Notamacropus eugenii: one gene and its partners. The protein of the gene in region 1 interacts with the protein of each later gene in a pairwise test. Links are inferred from orthologs where the notes say so. Each region holds a gene or a part of one and is shown on either strand. Other genes may lie near its edges.

Region 1 (7,148 bases):
TAAGATTGAACTAGCTCATTTGATTTGCCTTATCAAGTTGTTGACTTATATTGAGCTTGTGTGCCACTAAGACACCTCCCAGCTCCTTACCCCCAGGTCCTATATCACAGGAAGCTGCTATCCAGCCACATCTCTCTCATCCTGGTACTTGTGAAATTGATTTTTTGAACCCAAGTACAAAACTTTACATTTGTCCCTATAGAAATTCATCTTATTTGATTTGGCCCATGATTCTAGTTCCTTTACATCAATGTAAAATGTCCCATGTCCTGTGTCTAAGGCTATGCCCCTAAGCAGATGTTTGTAATATATTATGTGTGTGTCTTTACTAGTGAATCCAGCTGCTTGCTATGTGTTGCTGTCACTCATTGGTTTGGTGTACTGGGACTAAGCTGTGATTTTATCATGAGTCCAGTTGAATCCATATCATGTTCCTGAGTTTTGATTCTATGGGTACATGGCATTTCTGTTGCATGGCCACTTTGCCAACGTGGCATCTTCATTGATGAATCTTTTTGCGGACACAACTGTAGGTTCAAGTGCCCCCAATTTGTGTGATATGGGAGGGTCAGGATTAGGATTTAGAGAAACAGATTTGTGTGATGGAACTGCAGGATTCAAATCCTACTTCTGTCCCTTTTGACCTGTGTGACCTTGGACAAAAACATCACTTAAAGTCTCTGAGCCTTAGTTTCCTCATCTCTCAAACAAGGGGAATGGCTTTTCAAAGGTAGCTCTACAAACAACCCATTGCTATGTCCTTCCAGTGCTGATCTCAGACAGGACAGTTGTTTTATTGCTTCCCTCCGTGGGTCCACTCTGTACCATGGTTGTAGTGCCATATGTTGTACTGCGGTGCAGTGTGGTGTTGTGTGGCACAGTTATGGTGTTGCGTCATGGTTATGGTTCTAAAGGCCATAGTTGTATTATGTGAAATAGTTGTGCGTGGATGTGCTATGGTGGTAACATGTGCCAGGGTTGTGGCATCATGTGACAGTAAGATTGCTCTATCATACAGCACAGCTGTAGTTTTCTGAAGCATGATGGTAGACTTGCATGACATAGTTGTGGCTGAGTGTGGCTTTGTTGTGGTGCTGTGTGGCACAGTTGTTATGTATCATGACTGTGCAGTTGTATGGTGTTATATGAAATATTCATGGTGATGTATAAGACATCTCAGGACAGTGGATAGAGCGCTGGGCCTGCGGTCAGGAAGACTCATCTTCTGAGTTCAAATCTAGCCTTAGACTCTTTCTAGCTGTGTGACCCTAGGCAAGTCACTTCACCCTGTTTGCCTCAGTTTCCTGATCTGTAAAATATGCTGGAGAAGGAAATGGAAAACTCTCCAGAATCTTGGTCAAGAAAAACCCAAATGGAGTCACAGAGTCAGTCACAATTGAAACAAATGGGATATCTGCCCTCTTGAGTGTAGTGGTAACATCTATTAGGGTTGTGGTTTTAAGTGACGGTGAGATCATTGTGTTATGCAGAATGGTTGTAGTTTTATGAGACATGATTGTGTGACTTTGTTGTGGTGTTGGGTGGCACTGTTGACGTGTATCATGGTTGTGGTGTTACATGGTATTACATGGTGTTGTTGTGTTGTGTGTCACGCTACCGTGGTAAAGTTGAGGTATATGAGATGGTTGTTGTATTTTGTCACACTTCTGATTTTGGATGGCTAGGTTTTGAGGTATGGGACAAGGCTGTTTATATCACAAAGTTGCAGGGCTGTTATCTGTCATGTTATGCTATGGGGATGCTTGTGGTATTGAGCATTTTGGTGTTGTGTACCATCTGTGGTAGCGTGTGGCAAAGTTATTTGGGGGCAGAGTTGTGGTGCTATTGCATGACATGGCGTTGTGTGTCACAGTTGGGTTGTATGCCATGTTTGTGATGTTCCATGTTATGTTGTATATCACAGTTGTGTTAACATTATGTATCATGGTGGAATTATGTCACAGTTATGTTGTCATACATCATTGCTGTGTATTACATGGCATTATAGTTGTGTTGTGTGTTGTGGTTGTAATGCTGTTGTACATCATGACGTTATGCGTCACAGTGGTGATGGTATGTTACAGTGGTGTTGAGTGGTGTGGTTGCAATGCTGTTGCATTGGTGGTGCTGTAGATCACAGGTGTGATATTATTGTGTCATGGTGGTGGTGTTGTCACAGTTGTAATGAATACCGTGATGTTGTGCGTCATGGTTGTGATACTTTTATATGTCATTGTGGTGCTGTTGTGTGGTCATGGTGGTACTTTTGTCACAGTAATGACGTTGCTGTGTATCACGGTGGTGACTGTGTGTATCACGGTTACAATCATGGTGGTGGTATGTCAAGATTATGATGCTGATGCATTCACAATTATGCTGTATGTGATGGTTGTGATCTTGTGTGTCACAGGTGGGGTGTCACAGTTGCAATGCTGTTGTATGTCATGGTGGTGGTATTGTATGTCACAGTTGTGATGTTATTGTGTGTCATGATGTTGTTCTATGTCATGGTTGTGATGATGTTGCATTAACAATTGTGTGTCACAGTTGTCATGGTGTTAGGTTCACAGTTGTGTTATGTGTCACGGTTATGAGGCTACTCTATGTCAAAGCAGTGGTGTTTCATTTCATGGTTGCATGGTTGTGATGCTACTGTGTGTCACAGTGGCAGTGTTGTATGTTGTTGCATTAACAGTTGTGTGTCCTGGCTGTGATGGTGCTGGGTTCCCAGTTGGGTTGTCTTGTGTGTCCCGGTTGTGATGATGCTGCGTTCCCAGTTGTGTTGTGTTGTGTGTCCCAGCTGTGATGGTGCTGGGTTCCCAGTTGTGTTGTGTTGTGTTGTGTGTCACGGGGGCGTGGCCTACCGCACAGAAGCTCACTGAAGCTCCCAGGGCCTGGGCCACTTCCCGGGGGTCTCAGCACGGGGGCGCCCCCCGCCCACCCCTCCAGCCCACTGACGTCACTTCCTCCCGGAAGACTCTATGGTGGCAAGGTCGCGTCATCGCTACGTCAGGCTTCGCCACCATAGAGACGTCGTCGAGGGGAGTGGAGCTGGCTCGGAAACCGCAATCGGGCGCGGATCTCGGCCGCTGTGGGGAGGCGGGGAAAGGCGGCCGGCGGAGCGAACCACTGAGGGGGAGCTTCGTGTGCACCTGCCCCGCCGTCCCGGCCTTCGCCTCCCCGCCCAGGCCTCCCCGCGGCTCCTCGTCGGCACCCTCGCTCGTCCATGGACGCCAACGATTATTTCTCAGGTAAAGCCCGCAGTTTTCGCCACTGTCTGCGCCGCGGCCCAGGATTCCTCCCCCCGCCACCGGCCCGCGCCCGTCATCTGGGATTTAACCAATCCGATCCGCGCTCATTAGCATGCCCCGGCAGTCGAACGCCTCGAATAAATCGGTCGAGCCGATTGGTCCATAGATTAGTGAGGGAGGGTTGGGGTGTGGGGAATTTTTTGGTTTTAATTGTTGCCGACGGTGGTGGTCTTTTTTTTTTTCCCTCGGCTATGCTAGGAAGGTGCAGGCCTCTTAATCAATCAACCTCCTTCCGGGTCCTCAGTGGCTGAAAAGCGCTGTAGGGGGCGGGGCTCCAGGCTCCCCCTCGTCCATTGGCCGGAATGACTTCCCCGGCTTAGCCATTCCCTCCGAGGGGCGGGCGAGTCAGCCAATTGAGACGCGCGTCACTGAAGCCAAGTTGAAAGTTCGAGGGGCAGCTTTGTGGGCGGGGGAGCCGGTAGGCGTTTCGCGAGGCAGGCGCGGATTGGTCGGTAGTGCGACTCCCCGTTCTTATTGACTGCAGGCGGGCGGGCTTAGGCCTATCGGAGTTCGGCCTAACGCCCTTTCCCCTTCCACGCCCTAAGGGGAAAGGGGCCTGAAGGGGGGCGGTGTCGGAAATAGAGGGCGGTATCGAGCGATGTCTGAGGCTCCGATTGGCCGCCGTCTCTCCTCTGCGCGCCGGCTGCCCGGGTCGCGGGCCAATCAGGACGCGCGCCGCGGCGCGCGGGGCGGTGGGGGGGAGGTGGTGGCGGCCATTTTGAGCCGCTACCGCCGTCGCTAGTGCCGTCGTTGCCGCCACAGCCGTCGAAGGCCGTTCCTGGGGCCGAGACCGAGGTCGGGGCTGGGGTCGGGGCTGGGGCCGGGCCAGGCGGAGCGGAGAAGGAGCAGAGAGCGGAGCGGAGCCGAGGCGTCGGGCCATGGACGTGAAGCGGCTGAAGGTGAACGAGCTGCGGGAGGAGCTGCAGCGGCGCGGGCTCGACACGCGCGGCCTCAAGGCGGACCTGGCCGAGCGGCTGCAGGCGGCGCTGGACGAGGCAGCCGCCGCCGAGGCTGAGGCCGAGGCCGCCGCCGCGCCAGAGCCGGAGGCCGAGCCGGAACCGGAGCCAGAGGCCCAGCCCGAGCCGCCCGCGCCAGCCCCCGAGCCGCCGCCGGGACTCCCGTCGGGGCCGCCGCAGGACGGCCAGGAAACCCCCAGGGCCTCGCCTGAGCTCGCGCGCCCCGACGAATCCTGCGAGCCCCTGCCAGCTGCGGAAGAAAGGCCCGGCCCGGAGCCCGCGGGCCCGGAAGGCAAGGAGGGAGCGGGAGGGTGGGGGGCCCGGGCCCGGTGGCCGGAAGCCCGGCCCGGGGCTTCTCGGAGACGTGGGAGCTGTAGCCACGGGCCCGGGCGTTGGCGGCGCTGACCCCGCTCCCCGGCGTGTGTCTGGGGAAGGTGGCGCAGGTGGTGGGCGGTACGGAGTGGATCTGTTTAGGGGTGGGGACAGAAGGTCGGCCAGGCTGGAGAAGTCAGGGCTTCCTGCTTCCGCTGTGGTGACTAGTCCTGGAGCCCGGCCCGCGGCCGCGTGCGTGGAGCGGGGCTCGCCCAAGGTGTCGCGGAGATGCTTGTCTTAATCTTGGCCGTGGATAATTTGGGGGGCCGGGTCGGATGGCGGCAGAACCAGTTTATAGGTTCCGTGGCCTCTGGAACCTCTGCCCCTAACCCGCCCGCCCCCCTTCTGATCGTAGATGTCACTGGCAGCGCTGCGGAACAGAATCAGTTTTATGAGACCACAAATGTTCATCAGGAGAAGAAAACTGGTTATGAGAGTAAGCCTCCCGAGCTGGAGCTGGAGCAGCCGCTGACCTATCCAGGTGAGGGGCTGGGCAGTCTGAGGACCTGCGTGTGGCGTTTACCGGGGTTTGGTCGTTGGGTGGCTACTGCAGACTGCCAGCGGGGCAAGGTACCGCCGTATGGTTTGGCATCTGGGTGCCACGTTTTAGGAACGACTTTGACAGACTGAAGTGTCCAAAAGAGGGAGGTGACCATGCTGTTTGCAGACCAGTTCAAGGACTGTCTGGAGAAGAAATCTAGGGCAGCTTCAGCTTGCCATCTTTTAGTGTTTTAGAGACCTTCAAGTTAGACTTGTTCTGCTTAGACTGAACTAGTTGCTGTGGGTAGAAATTCACAGAGAGACAGGTTTCAGCTTGGTATCCAGTAAAATTTCTTCACATTCAAAGCAATCCCAAAACAGTGAACCGCCGTTTCCCACCACCAGAACACATCATCTCAGCGCCACTTCTCTAGGCAGCTCCGCAGGGCTGAGAAGGAGGGAATAGAACGGTTTCAGCACAATCTGACCAGTGGCCAGGCACCGAGTGAGGGGTGACTGTGAAGGATATTTTTAAAAACCTCCCTGGCTTCGGATCTGTTGTTTGAGAATCAACAGACTACAAGTGACTTACAGACACAAATCTTTCTATGTTCCCCTCTATACAAGTAGGAGGCACTTGGTAACAAGATCTCAGTTGGACAGAACCTGTCCCTCAAAGACAGGCAGTGTGCCATTTGGGCCCAAGTTGCCATGTCCAGTAGGGGTCAAAAAAGACTAAAATGACTTGTGCCCTGAAGTACTTAGATCAGGCCACGAGTATCTAAGAGGCATTGTTGTACTGGGCATTGGGGAAGGGCAAAACCGTCCCTACACACAAGGACTCTGGGTTCTAAGGAGGGAAACAACAAGGACCTAGAGCAACACATACGTTACAGATACAAAGAGAACAAACACAAATACATACCAGGTAGTTTGAGAGGGAGGAACCTCAAGATTCTGCAGATGAAGACCATGGTAATTGAACTGTGTCTTAAAGGAGGTCTTGAGGGGGCACTATTGAGAACAGAGCACCAGGCCTGGAGTCAGGAAGACCTGAGTTCAAATCTGGCCTCAGTCATTCACTAGCTATGTGACCCTGAGCAAGTCACTTAACTCAGTTTGCCTTAATCCATTGGAAAAGGAAATGGAAACCACACCAGAATCTTTGCCAAGAAAAGAGTCAGAAGCAAGTGAACTACACAGCAGTCTTAAAGGAAGGGCAGCACTGTGATTGGATTAGTGTGGGCATCCCAGAAGTCCTCTCTAAAGAACTTCGTCATGCTGGGTACCTTCTCTTGTGGAGTCTAATATGTTGATGAATCAGGGATTATTGGAGCTGACAGGTCCCTTAGAGATCATCAAGGCCAACTTCTTCCTCTTGCAGGAGAGAAAAGTCAAGCAGTTTGCTCCCAGCCCCAAAGGTAAGAAGGAACAGAGAAGGGCTAGCAGCCCCGCTATGAGGTCTCTCAGTGGTTCACTGATTATCTTGGGGATATCTGTGCAACAGTCCAGGGATCATATGCTTTCTCTTGCTTGAGGTGACTGATCAAGGCCTCCTTTCCCAGTCATGTGTGTCCTTGAAAGTATCTAGCGCCACTTAGCATACCCAGGTCCTCTGTGGTAGTAAACATACTATAGTCTGATCGTACTCTTGCTCTTTGGGCCCCCAGCAGTTTTGATCCTTCTAAGATGACTCTGTTGTGTAATCCCCAGCCCTGGGGTATCAGCAAGAGAATTGATGTTAAGTAGATGATGAACTTTGGTGACTGAGCAGTTTGGAATCCTTCAAAAAGCTCCACATGGCCTAAACGTTGAACCACCTTCCTGTCTTATCTTCAGTTCTGGACTGGGCTTATCGTCCATGTGCAGCACCTTTCTACTTTGTGATTTGTTTTGATCCAAGATGGGGCTGCTGAAAAAATCTTCTAGTCCAGAAGTATCAGATTCAAAGCCCACGACACTCCTGAGTGTGACCCAAACCACATTAAAATGGAATTGGGAAATATTTGACAAAATTAAATAAATATAA
Region 2 (7,133 bases), on another chromosome or scaffold:
GGCTGTAATGACAAACACTAAATTAAACACTTCTTTGGGGACTAGGAGAAGACTGCATGGGGACTGCTAGGTCCATACAGTACAGGAAAGTGGTCTTGAATTTGACTCCTTTAGGTAAAGCCTGAGTCACTGACGACTACAAGTCTGGTGTGAGCCAGAAGGACACAAGATGCTGGAGAAGGAGCTATAAAAGAAACGAGAGGGCAGGAGAATCACAAGAAGCCAGGGACAGAAGCTACAGAACATTTATGGCAGAGACAGCCCACTTTCAGCTGCTTTTCTGGAACTTGCTTATTGGGAAAGAGACTTGGCTTTGCTGACTAGCTGGAGAAAGGCCGGGAGGCTGAAAGCCAGGAGCCAAATCCTGCTGCCTAAGGGAGCTGTCTGGGCTTGTTGCTCTCTGCTGCCATCTACTGCTGAGAGAGGGCAAAGGTGCCAGGCTTGTGTTGTCCTCTATTGGCTGTGTCTGTTCTGAGGGTGTGTGGGGTTTCTCCTTCGTTCCGAGAGAGGACCATGATTTCAGGGTGATAATGATATGATTCACAGTTGACTTTGATTTGAGGGAGGGAGGGCTGTGCAAGGTCACCAGCCTCACTATCTCCTCCAGAGGCATCTGGGTCCAGTAACCTGATATTTATCCATCAGGATGAGGGGAGATGGCCCAGGATGCAGTGGGAGACCCTGACCCTTTTAGGCTAAGGCCTTTTCAGGTTCTCATTTTGAGTGAGGCCACACCCATTCAATGAACAGGCCTTTTTAAGAAGTGAGTCAAGGGATCATCCCTTTAAGAAGAAGGGATGGGGAACTGGGAGGGGAAGACTGTCCGGGTTGCTGGACAAAAGAAAAACAGTTACTACTGACATTCCCTCTGAGCCAGGAGGGCCCAAAAAGAACCATTAAGTGGTGCTTGGGCAGGGACCTATTGTTGAGGAACAGAAGGATGGTGAGGTTTTGCATTTGTAAGCTATGATTTAATGTGAGAAGGCTGCCATTCGCAGGTCTGCTGAAGTTGGCAGCTGTTTGCCTTAAGGGAACTGCCTGTCACTGAAAGAACACAATACTGTCCCTCCTCAGCATCCTACTAAGGTTGCTCAGAGCAAAACAGGGTTGGCAGAGATACTGGAAGGGTCTGTCATATCCTTCTCCTACTCATTTTACAGATGAAGAAACTGAGGCAAACAGAGTTAAGGGACTTGCCCAGGGTCACCAGATTAGAACTCCGGCAGATGAGTCTGCCTGACTCCAGGTCCAGCTCTCTACGCACTATGGTGCCACCTGGTATTAAATGAGAATTGTCCTTAAGGTTCAATTGCATCTATTACCTAGTTCTAAACAATGTTTATCTGACCTTTGAAAAGAAAGGATCTTTTTGGTGACTCAGGGTCAACAATCAGCTCATTTGAAAATCCACCAGACAGAGAAACAGTAAGCAAGGTGGAGGACATGTATAAATCTGAAAACAGCCTTAATATTGCAATGAGAAGAAACAGAAGGTTTGTTTCTGCAGAACATTTGGGATGTTTCAGGATAGTTTATAATGCTCATGCCCAGTGACCATGGAATCCACACAGCCTCACTTTTGTGCTGAAAGCAAGCAGCTATTTGTACCATCTTGGCCACATGACTGGAAGGGAACAGAGGAAGCTACTCTGGGGCACTGTGCAGAATGCACATGTATCCTCTCACTGAGGAGCAGTTTGCCTTTGAATATGGAATCCTTGTGGCAGTTTGGAAAAAATTTGATGATACTTGAAAAATTGCAAGAACATTGTGCTTCAGCAGAAAGTGCTAGAATGTCCAATTCATGATGTGCCTGATTATGGCTGTGTTAAATCACTTCAGAAACAAACCTATGGGCAGGTAGTAGAGGAAAGACCTACTTGTAACCTAAGTGGGCAGCTCATTGCTTAAAGCACTATGAAAGACTCCCTAATGCAAACTCCTTGGATTATCACCACAAATGAAGACAAAGCCAATGATTCCGAGAACCACTGAACAGGAATCCTGACTAGAACCCTACCTCTGTCAATTTGTGAAGAGTATTTAAAAGCTGGAGAAGCAAAGAAAGAACTTGCACTCAGATCATGCCTTAAGGATGTGTATGGAGCCACTAGGTGGAACTACAGCAGATCAAGCACCAGGCCTGAAGTCAGGAAGGCTTCTCCTCTGAGTTCAAATCCAGCCTCAGACACTTACTAGCCTAATGACCTTAGGCAAGTCACTTCACCTGGTTTGTCTCAGTTTCTTCATCTGTAAAATGAGCTGGAGAAGGAAATGGAAAGTGGCTCTAGCATCTCTGCCAAGAAAACCCCAAATGGGATCATGAAGAGTCAGACTTAGTAAATCATTTAATACAGAACTTGTCATTAACCAATAGAAAAGTATCATGACTGGCCATTCATTTTTTATCATGTTATCATTATCATTACTTAAGCAGTTAGAAATTTTAAAAAATGCATTTACAATGTTCAAAGAGCTTGTGTAATTCTTCTAGAATTTTCTACCACATATTTGTGTGAACAAGCATTTTTTCACTTTATATCAAAATAGAGAAAAAAACTTGATGCAGTACCAGATTTAAGACTATTTGTCTGGTATTAAGCAAAATGTCGCAAACATCTACTCCAATAAAAAAATGCAACATCAAAATAGTTTATACGTGATTATGATATTATGCTAACATCTTCCCACTTATAAATTATTTCATTTAAATGTTTTATTTGACAAAATTTGCCAAACAAAATAATTTAATATGAAGTCTTACAGATAATAGTGAGCATATGAGATCTTAGATTATTTCTTTTCATTCTTACAGAATGTCCCACAAAAAAATCCATAACTATTTTAGTTAAGTTTTATAATTTTGTATTGTTTTCATAACTGTAGGTAGAATAAACTTTTTTGTGATTACCGTTACATAATGCAAATTTTAGTTTGTGTTTTGGGGGGCAAAAGCAATCAATATCGCTATTCTAAGCTCTTGATGAAGAAATGTAAATGTGCATTATGTGGTGTGGTATATTAAATTACCTTGCGGGTTCACCTCCTAGCTACGGAAGGAGTCTGGTTTCTTCCCGGCTCGTATAACCACATGAATGCAGTGTTCGCACACGCGCACACGCAGATCTAGGCTGGAAGGTACTTTACATGTTACCAAGACTGCTACAGTAGCGCTCGTGTAACCGCATGAATGCAGTGTTCGCACACGCACACACGCAGATCTAGGCTGGAAGGTACTTTACATGTTACCAAGATTGCTACAGTAGCGCTCGTATAACCGCATGAATGCAGTGTTCGCACACCCACACACGCAGATCTAGGTAGGAAGGTACTTTACACGTTACCAAGATTGCTACAGTAGCGCTCGTGTAACCGCATGAATGCAGTGTTCGCACACGCAGATCTAGGCTGGAAGATACTTTACATGTTACCGAGATTGCTACAGTAGCGCTCCGATTTTACAGGGGACTTACTGAGGGTACAGGGGGCGGGCCTCTGGGTGCCCGAGCGCCAGGCACTGAGCTGCCTTGGGGGTCTGTCTCTGGGTGTGTATATAAATGTGTGTACATACAGAGGCCCGATCCGCAGCTTTGGGGTCCCTCTTCGATCCTTGGCCCGCAGGCTGTCCCCACCCAGGGTCTCCTTTTACACCTGAGGAAACTGAGGCACGGAGCCTGGCAGCCCTGCCAAGGTCTACCTTGGGCGGGGAGGTAGAAGGGGGCTTTGGACTGCCTCGGTTTCCCTGCCTGTCATGCTAAGGGCACCCCTCCCCCCGGGCCGCTGCCTGCAGCAAGTAGCCCGGCACGCCCATCCCGAGTTAGAGAGGAAACAGACGCAGCCTCCACCTCCCCGGAAAGAGGCAAGAGGAAGAGCCGCCCCTCACACGCACGCACAGATCTCCCAGGAGGAGGAGCTACTCCCAGCCACCCCAGAGACCCGGAAGCGATGGAAGGATATGCGCACGCGCCCTAAGACTTTGAGTCATGTGGGTAACTCCTAGGCGCTGGGGGAATAGGGAGGGTGGGGTGAGGGAGTGGGTGGAGTCTCTCCGAGGCCCCGCCCCTGACCCGGTCGCGCTTGCGCAATTGCCCCTGACGCTCAGGCCGGCACCCGCCGAGGCCGGTCAGGCAGTTGCTTCCTTTTCAAAAACTCCTCGGTAAGATGGGGAGGGGACTGCGCGGGGCCACGCCTGAGCTACCTCAGTTTCCCCACCTGTGATGGGAGTGGGTCTGGAGAGAGGGCAGAAGAAGCTGGGGCGAGGCCGCTGGAGCTGCCTCAGTTTTCTCATTTGTCAAATGTGCAAGGGCGGGCCCCGTCCCTCCCCCGATGCCCCGCCCCAGGCCCTGATTCAGGTGACCCTGGGTACCTGGCAGCTGTGCCAGAAGGATGCCCCAGCAGTGACTGGTGGGCGCAGCAGCAGATGTGCCCTCCTCGGGGAGGAGCTCGTGCAGATGGGCTTTTTCCTCGCTCTGCGTTGTGGGAGGGGGGGATTCATTGGGGGTCGGGCTTGGGACAGAAGGATAGTTAACCATCGGTGCGTTCTCTCTTGTGACAATAGAAACCAAGGGAAGATGAAGCCAGAGGAGCAAGAGCCCGACCCCATGGCCCCTCCCCATGGCACTGCCCACGGGGAGGTGCAGGTAATGTGGGAGCTTGGGTGTCTGGGGCAGGGTGAGCAGGGAGGCCACCCTGGTGAGCTCTGAGACTTAGCCCACAGTGGTCGCATTGATGACTCTCCACATAGGCTGGAAAGGCAAGATGGCCCTTGGCCCCATGGCGCTGCCCCTGGGGAGGCGCAGGTAATGTGGGAGCTTGACCCTCCACATAGGCTGGAAAGGCCCCAAGCTGGTGCCCATGGGGCACCAGCTCTGTCAGGGCCTGCTATGCTGGAAAGGCTTTGCAGGCAGACTCCGTGAGGAAGTGGGCATTGGCCATAGAGGGGCTGGGGGAGGCCACACTGAAGACTGCCAGTGTCTTAGAAGTCTGTAGGCAGAGGCAGGCACAGAGTCAGACAGACCTACACAGTGGGAGCTCTTTGTGTTTACATATCACTTGTGGAAGATGTGCATGAGTACCCTCCTTGAAGCTTAAAGGTTACAGGAAAGCCCAGATTTACCCCCAGGCCCCCAAAATGATCAGTTGAGGAGGGGGAATTTTTGTTTGTTTTGCTTTACCAAAAATGCTTTCCAAGTTGTTTCCTCCTGGGAGAAAGCTTCCTTGCCTCCTGGGATAAGGGATTCCATTTGCAAAAACTAAACATAGTAGGACCCCATCTGATTCAGAGCTAACAATTCTGTGGTGCTTTGAAATTTACAAAGAGTCTTACGTACAAGGACTCAGTGACACACCATTATTATCCCCATTTCACAGATGAGGAAACTGAGAATGGTTAAGCATTTTCCTAAGGCCACGTGACCAGTGTCAGGAGGAAGGATTTGAGTTTCCTGACTCCCAGTCCAGCATTTGGCTGCAACACTGTGCTGGCATTTAGATGGCATCATGGCCTGCATTTCTGGGGCGGCTCATTTGGGACGAGAATAAGGATGTAGTCAGATCAACTTCAGCCAAGAAACAAGTCCAGGACAGTGCATCTTGAGAGGCCTCTCCCCCAATCTCATGGCTAGCTGGGCAGGCAGGCTGTTGGTATTTGGAAGACTGAGGCAGTAGGCAAGGCAAGGCTGCCTCCCAGAGGCCCTTGAACTGGGCTGGACAGGAAGGAGGTAGGAGAGAAGGCAAGGTCGCAGAGGGGGAGGAAACCTGAGAGCTGGGACGCATCTGTGCCCACCCACATTGGTGACCACGTCACATTGTGAGGGATGGTAGGAGTGGGAGCCTCCTTCAGAAGTCAGTCCCTGGGTAAGAAGATGGATTAAAGTTGATCAAGTCCCTGAAGATAGGCCCTCTGGCAGCCTCTTAGCTCAGAGTGGATCAGACCGTTTGGTCAGCTTACAGGGTTACAGCAAGTGGACTGTCCACATCCATTGCATCCTACCGAAGTTATGCTGGAGCAGACAACCCATTCACCAGTGGAGGTGAAACAGAGGCCTTGGGCTTCCTTGAGGCCAATGGAAGCCTGTTCTCAGCAAACCTAGTGCCTTAGTCCAGCCTGCTGTCATCTGAGGCCCCTGCAGGAGCCCCCCTCAGCCTGAAGGCTTTGCAGGGGAAGCAATCAGTCTGCCCCACAAGACAAATGAAGAGGCATGTCTGGAAATGGTGCCACCTGCTGCCAGTACTTGTTCATGAGCTGTGCTGAGGCAGGATGGGTCCCTGAGTGCCTGGCGCCTGTCACTTAAACACCACCTGGATGCTCGTGGCAAGATGGGGCAACAGTGACCATCGGTTGACTGTGGCCTTTATTGAGATACACAAGGGGATGAACTATTTGCCCAGGCATTCTATCCCAGCCCCCATCTTATTTCCTTGATTTTGTGCAGAAAGTGAGAGAAACCAAAGAACAGAATGACGCAGAGAACTCAGAGCCCGAAGAGCTTGTGGCTATCGCAGATTACGCAGCAACGAATGAAACACAGGTAAGAATGGGCAAGGCCAGGTGTGACATCAGCCCAGTGTTCTGTGTGTTCCTGAGGAGGTGGTGGGGATGCCCTGTGACAGGTCTGTGAGGGCTGGGGGGGACATCTGGTAGGACTGTGGGGGGTGCAGGAGAGAGGAGGGACCTGGAGCAGAGACAGGGAGGAGTTACCCTCAATTTCTTTTGAGCTTGAGCCAGAATGACTGTTTAGGGGCCCAGTCTGTAGATTCTAGGCTGTGAGCAGAAGCTAATCGTGATTTGATATAGAACAACACACAGACACACACATGTGTGTCCTGTTTGTCTGTCCCTGGTTCCCCCTCTGGAGGAGTCCTCTCTTTATTGGGTTAAGCTGGTCAGACATTGGCACTTCTTTCCAATACTGACCTGACCGACAAGCAGAACAGAATGCAAGCAGAACACAGTGGGGGGGGTTGGGGCAGAAGGGCCCCACAGGCCTCAGGAGGGAGGCCCAACTCTCTTAGAGGAATCAAGGCCTGGGACAGAGGACACACTCAGAGTCTTGAGGGGCCAGACTTGTTCCATTCTCCTCACCAGCTCTTGACCCTGACCAGCCACCTGGGCATTGCAGATGGGCAGCCCT
Region 3 (7,012 bases), about 330 Mb from region 1:
TTTGTTTCTGAGTCCATTTTTTATGCTTATTCCCTGTCTGTTTTTTCTTAGGGTGTTTTCACTTTTTTTTCCAATTCATAACATATATCATGTTAGAGTTTTCCTGTTTGCTCATTTCTTTGACTGATCCTTTTCCTTTTCTGAAAAGTTGGCTTTTTCCTCTCTTTTTTGGGAGCTCCATTTTACTTTTCAGGGGCATTTCTTCATCTCTTCTTTTAGAGGTTATTGAGGCAATAAACTCCTTTATGATTCCTGACTGACTTTTTGTTGGAAGTGTTCCAAGTTGCAGATTTCCAACTTAAATTTGTAGCGAGTCAGAGTTTATCTTTTTAATATATTATAAATACATGCCAAGTAGCTAGTCATATTCAATCTAAAAGATAGTTGAGCAAAAAGGAAATTTGAATAATAGCCTTCAAAGGATTACAAAGCTAATTGAAAGGAGTCTTACAAATACAAGTCAAGGGAATGGTAACTAGGAACCAGAGTGTAAAAGATGAATTCAGGATTAGACTAGATAGAATCAGATGGAATTTAACAGGAACAAATAATTAAATCTTACACTAGTTCAAAAAGTCATCTTGATGTGTTACAAGATGGAGGGAGGTATAGAGAGAGAACAGTTCTTCATTTCAAAAAACATCTAGGGGTTTTAGAAAACTTTGGACTCAGTAATATCTCAACAGTGTGATATGCCAACCAAGAAAGGCAATTATATTTTTTAAGTGGCATTAGAGTACAGTAATTAAGAATTGATAGACTCACTGTATTCTGCTTTGGGAGGATCATTTGTATTGTGTTCTGTTCTGGCTGCCCCATTTTGAGGATTGATCAAAGGACCATCGATGATTAACTTGAGGTTAACGGGATAAAACCATTGTTTGAGATTTTGATTATGTGCTGAAAGACTGCAGCTCTCGGATAGGTTTGAACATGCCTAAAGAGTTATTAAGTCTCTCTATACTTCATGTCTTCATGGATTGAATAGATGTGAAGAACTTTGTTAGCATCTCCCTATGGAAGACCTGGGTATATGCAATGATACCTTATTGAGATAACTGAGGACATTTAGTTAATAGATATTGAGAGTAATCCACTTATACCTCATTGAGCATCAGTGATTGAGTTTCAGCGTTAGGAGTAATTTGATTGGCTCAGGCTACTGCAGATTAGAGTCTATTAAATCTAAATTTCCTAAAATTTTATTAAGGGATTTAACTTTTTTCTTTTTTAAAAATAGGTCTGAAAGTTGAGATCTTCCAGTCTTTTACTATTTATATCTCCCTGTAACTTACTTAGCCTTTCATTTAAATATATAGATGAAATGTTATTCAGTACATATATATTAAGTATTGAAATGAATTGTCTATGGTAACTTTAAGCATATATAGTTTCCCTGTTTATTTTTAGTCAAATCAATTTTTATGTTGTCCTGTCAGAGATTGCTTCAAATGAAGCATGAAATTTTGTTCCATTCCCTTATATTAACTCCTTATGAATCTTTATGATTCCAGTGTATCTCTTGAAAACAACATATTATTAGATTCTACTTTCTAATTCATTTTGATATCCTCTTCTGTTTTATGGATGAGTTCATTACATTCACATTCAAAGTTATGATAGTTGTATATTTCCTTCCATTCTATCATTTTATAATTTTTTCATTCTTTTCTTTCTGCCACCTTTTACAAAGAAGCGAGCAGTGAGGGAGAACGATTGTGCATAGACCAGTACTCTATGCTTTTGTGCTCCTGTCTCTTTTTCTCAGTCTGCTTGACCAGATCTCAATCATATCTCTTCTTTCTTTCCATTTAAACTCTTCTTGATATCTCTTCTTGAGGTTAGAGTTTGTTTTGCTTATAAATAATTCTTTCCAACAACTACTCTCTCACTCTCATTATCCTCACCCCACTCCTCCTCATTCCTTGTTTCCCTGTTGTGTTGAATGTATTTCTACACCAAACTCTTCCCTGGTGTATTACTTTTTCTGTTCCTTTACTTATTTTTCTTTTAAGATCATTAAAACACAACACCACTCCCGTATTTCCTTCATAGTTCTCACTTCTTTTCCAATACTTTCCTCTCACACACTTACTTTATAAGATCATTTTAAAACTCTAAAAAAAAACAAAAACAAAAAACCCCAACCTTTGTTTCATTTCTTCCAGCAATTCCAGTTGCCTTTGTGGCCAAACTATGTTTTTCTATGAGACCTTGCCTGTAGGCATTTTGGAGTAATTTTCCTCTTCCTGCTTTAGTTTGCTGTTCCTGGCATGATGCATCTTTTTTAGTGAGAGTCTTTTTTTTCTTTACTCATTCTTCTAACCTTACTTCCCAGATTGGAACTTTGTATTAAAACCAGTCTCTCCATAGTTTTGGAGGGAATGCTGGAACCGTGTTTGGCCATTTTTTTTTTGTTGTTCTCTGGGGTCCTACTACTTCTATCCTTAGATAATGAATGTATTCTTTAAGGCTCCCAGGGGGACATACAAATTTTCAGTGTGCTCTAAGTTATCTCATCTAGTGTAAAGTCTGGTCAGTACCCATCTGGTCTGAGCTTTACAAGTTCCTGATCATGGTTTGAGTCGGGGCAGCAAAATCATAGGTTTGCCTCTGGTTGGACCTCTAGTATACTGCTGCTACACCTAGGCTCCATCAGCTAGTTGCGTAACTGCAGATTCAAAGAGACAGCACTTCAGTGTCCTCTTTAGTCTGAACTCCCTGCCTTTTGATACTCAGCTTAAAGCCTTAGGCACCTGCTTCAGCTACTTTCAAGGCTATTGGAACAAATTGTTCTTGTCCATCCATTCCAGTGGGGGAAGACTTCACATGCTTGGAATAGACAAGCCCCTAACTCACTGACAGATTTGAGGCCTGTCAGTTACCCTCAACCTGGTTTAGCCTGTCTGCTGAGATGGTTTACTGGTTTACTGGAGTGTGGCTACACATGCTACAACTTCTTGGAGCCACAGGTGAGAACTGAGTGCCAGGTAGACACCAAAGGTGGATGAGCTGCCCTTGAAAAGGTCCACAAATTCCTTACACCAGGGGTGCTAATCCTCCTTGAAAACCTCATACACCCATGGGATGGGGAGCAGGTATGAATAAAAGATAAGTTTCAGCTGAAGACAAAATCTAAAAGCAGAGAGGCATTCCATAAATTATTGCCAGAAATCTACACATGCAGGGCGATTATCAGTGATCTACAGAGACTTCATGCTCTGCAAGGTCAGTAAGAGGTAGGCCTGTCAGAACAGTGATGAAATCAGCATTATATAAATTCTTACTATTAATGTTATTATTTTTATTGTTATTAACAGTGACCTTTCATTAATGTATAAGTTGTGAGTTGCCCTTCCATTCCAGAGCACCAGGCATGGCCCTATGTGTGACTCTCCACATGTGGTACCTTTGTTGTGTTCACTCTTTACATTAGTAGTGTCTATATCTAAAGAAGAGTAGATCCCAGATTTATAGGGAAATGTATTGCTTTTCTTACTTTACTGTTTCATAAAATACCTTTGATTTGAATTAAATGTGTCTTCTTGTTGACTAGTAAAGGTGAGACTATCAGGAAGAGCATTTTGTGAACTCCCATTTGGAGTGGCTTTGAAATCACCAAGTATCTTGAAATTGGTGTAACCTTGTCTGGTGGAATCCATTCTGAGAGTAGGGTTTGGTGGTGGTGCCCCCAGGCGTTACAGATAAAATCAACTCAGTGCAGTTTACTGTGGCCAGGTAGGTAAAGGTGTATGCAGATTCTGTTTTTAAAAAACAAACAACAGCTACAAAAAACTACCAAGGGACTTTAGGCTGCCCTCAGATGACACATTTGTAACAAGCCTGAATGTGAGAGCACAGGTTGCTGGGAAGGGGCGGGTCCCTCAAGTTCCAGGAAGGAGGGCTCAGTTAATAAGACCAAATGAGTTGGTTTCAGTTTCATACTAGCTGGAAAACTTTGTCCCTGCCGGTGTGACCACAGCAGAGAAGCCCAGATTCACCCACCTCTTGTCCCTACCTAAGAATTTTAAAGACCTTCTCTCATTCTATCCTAGGACGGTAAGCACGTTTTGTGATTTTAAGTGAACCCTGTTAAAATATTTGTCTAATTAATTCCTGCCAGTTACTAGGAACACAACCCCCATGCGGCGGCTGCTACTGCTGCCAAACACTTCTGGTCCTAATTCTGGGCTTCTGAAGCTGTGACAGATCTGTATTCTGTAGTGAATGATAGAAAAGGGGGCTTGGGGAGGAATGGAGTTTCCCCTAGAGCCCTTTTCACTGGATATCTATTTAAGCAGCCTAAAAAAAATACACCCATACTAATCTTAATCCCTCGTTCAATCATTGCACAGCCTACTTTATTTAGTACGTTCATTCATTTTCCTACCCTTTTAAAATTCAGTCCAATACTTTGAGTATATGGGGGGAGGGGAGGAGGCGATTAGGGGTAACCTCTATTTCCTACTATAGTTTGGAAACTGCCTTTTTTTTTGAAGACACTGATTCTCGCCTTGTAAACACCCTCCCCCCCCTCCAATATTTCCTCAATATTCCTTCCTTCTGTTTACAACTTGCTGGGGCCTGTCATGAATAGCAGCAGACTGAGAGCTTTAAAAGGGGAAAGCTTTAACCTACACTTAAAAAATTTTAGGAAATGAGCTAGCTGCTTTTTTGCATATTGAAGCCATAATACTTGTCCCTGGTCAGCAATTGATTAATGAGTGAGTCTAACAGCACTGCAGGGACTCTGGTTCTTAATGTCGTTTGGGAAATCCAAGGGAATGGCAATAAGTCTCAAGGAAAACATTTTCATCACATGATCATGATTAATCCTTAGGGCTTGTGTCCGTGCCTTACCTGACTTCATGAATGAGTTAAAACACAGAGAACAAGTTCATCCCTCCTCCCCAACCTCACATAGACTTTCTGCCTACACCCAGAAATAAAGGCAGGGGAAAACCCTGCAAACTTGCTTTACACACACACACACACACACACACACACACGCACGCACACACATGCACACACGCACACACGAAATTCTAAATGGGTAAGTGATGAAAGCAAGAAGTATTTCAGTCTGGGGTGAAGAGGAAGATGGGAGTTCTTTGAAGACTTTCAGTTTCAAATAGGTAGGACACCTGCAGAAAAGTGTGCTTGGGGGTGGGGGTAGGGCAGGAAAAGAGAGATTGGCAGATGACATTACACTGCCTGAGAATTCGCCAGTCCTGCAGATTTCAGTATGTGATACCGAACAGGTATAAAGTCAAATATTCAGACTTTTCCAGGAGGCAAACTTTACTGTATGCACAGATTAGTAATGAATCCCTACATCCAGTAGGGATGCTTTGCTTATGCATTCATTTGTGAAAAATGGTCCCCACAGCAATACAGAACTTCATGCCAGTGTAGTTCTTTCTTTCATGTGTTCCTCCCACAATGCCAGCACACTGTTTGGTGACTGCAGATGTCTTGAGTTCAGGCCTCACAGTTACCATTTGTACATTATTTCAGGGACAAGTCAAAGATGCAGAATAGTTACAGATCAGCAGTGAGTGACGGGGTGTTCTCATTGGGAAATGAGATAGTCCTAACTCCCTCTCCCCTAGACTTGAGAGTAAGACCACCATGTTTAATATTATTTACATGAAAAAAAAAAGTTTTCAGAGTTCCAGACAGTTGATTAATAAATCAACCTTTGTTCTGGAACACAACTTTATAAATTGATTATTCATGTACCTAAGTACCTTGCAGGCAAAACTTACAAGAAGTTCTGCAGGTATAACTTGAAGACAGATGCTATCTCACAACTTTAAGAGAACATGGAACCTTTCTGAAGTAAAAAATCTGTCTGGCCTCAATGGTAGAACCTGGAAATAATAAACCAGTCTGCCCTCTTGACATCTAGGCACCCTGGGACAAGTGTTTAGTTGTTTTTTCCTGTCTGTGAGCCCAGTGAGAGTTTTCTTGGCAGAGATACTGGACTGCTTTGCCATTCCCTTCTCTAGCTCATTTTACAGATGAGGAAACTGAGTTAAGCAGGTTTAAGTGACTTGCCTAAAAGTTCCATAGTTAGTAAGTATTTGAATCTGGATTTCAACTCAGGTCTTCTGGCACTAGTGCTCTATTTACTTCACCACCAACTTATGCCTTCTAACTACTTTTCTTCACCCCTAAGACCTTCCCTACTGTGCCACTTTTCCCTGGGTAGGACAGGTAGGGGAGGTACTGTGACAGAAATTAGTGTATATACAGGTAACTTGCCTTGAGTGCAAGGAATTTAGTGGATCTTGGGCTAGAAGGCACTCATCTTGTAGGTGAGTAGAAGCAGGCTTGAGAGTGAGACCATCATATTTAATATTGTCTACATGAGAAAAACACTTTTCAGAGTTCCAAACAGTTGACTTGTCAATCAATTCTTTGCATTCATTGCCGTTAGCAGATAATAAAAAAATTAATGCTACTTATGCCATTCAAGGAAAAGAGATACTTTATGCTCTGCTTTCTTTTTTATCTTAATTACTTTACTACACATTTCTTACTATCCTGCTGGCAATAAAAATTTTGAACCACAGACTTATTGTTCGGTTCCATATAGGCTACCATCTCTTCAACTTCATAGTGTCATACTCTTTAAAAAAAAAAAAAAACTTGTTAAAAAAAGATTTAAATTAAGTTCATTGGATTAGGGATCCCAGAGACCATATCATTTTACAAATAACTTGCCTAAGGTCACACAGATAGGATTTGAACCCAGGTCTTCTTAATTAGGAATGAGTGTTTTCTTCATTATACTTATGCTGCTGCCTAAAAAGCAACAAAACGAAACAAAACACAATTTTTAACAGAAGCATTGAAAGTTAACATGAGTATCATTTCATGTTCAATGATCCCAGAGTTCCTAGTCCATTGAATTGATGATATAGGTCATTCAGATATGTTGTATGACCTTGGGCAAAACAGATACTTCATCCCCTGGTCTGTTTCCTCATATGTAAAAAATGGGACA

What was found.
Region 2: the proteins of HNRNPUL1 (region 1) and PRMT2 interact in a two-hybrid assay, tested with the Homo sapiens proteins (2 studies listed by BioGRID and IntAct). The link is inferred for Notamacropus eugenii from reciprocal best matches to the Homo sapiens genes HNRNPUL1 and PRMT2.
Region 3: the proteins of HNRNPUL1 (region 1) and DZIP3 interact in binary tests that used the Homo sapiens proteins (3 or more experiments, as listed by UniProt). The link is inferred for Notamacropus eugenii from reciprocal best matches to the Homo sapiens genes HNRNPUL1 and DZIP3.

Annotation. Positions count from the first base shown.
Region 1 is NC_092876.1:29,911,905-29,919,052, reverse strand, and holds the start of HNRNPUL1 (heterogeneous nuclear ribonucleoprotein U-like protein 1), read left to right. Parts: upstream 1-4,054; 5' UTR 4,055-4,189; coding exon 4,190-4,559; intron 4,560-4,994; coding exon 4,995-5,120; intron 5,121-7,148.
Region 2 is NC_092873.1:68,197,321-68,204,453, forward strand, and holds the start of PRMT2 (protein arginine N-methyltransferase 2), read left to right. Parts: upstream 1-4,045; 5' UTR 4,046-4,156; intron 4,157-4,558; 5' UTR 4,559-4,571; coding exon 4,572-4,640; intron 4,641-6,434; coding exon 6,435-6,530; intron 6,531-7,133. UniProt on the Homo sapiens protein: Arginine methyltransferase that methylates the guanidino nitrogens of arginyl residues in proteins such as STAT3, FBL, histone H4. Acts as a coactivator (with NCOA2) of the androgen receptor (AR)-mediated transactivation.
Region 3 is NC_092876.1:360,263,172-360,270,183, reverse strand, and holds the start of DZIP3 (E3 ubiquitin-protein ligase DZIP3), read left to right. Parts: upstream 1-3,920; 5' UTR 3,921-4,059; intron 4,060-7,012. UniProt on the Homo sapiens protein: E3 Ubiquitin ligase proteins mediate ubiquitination and subsequent proteasomal degradation of target proteins.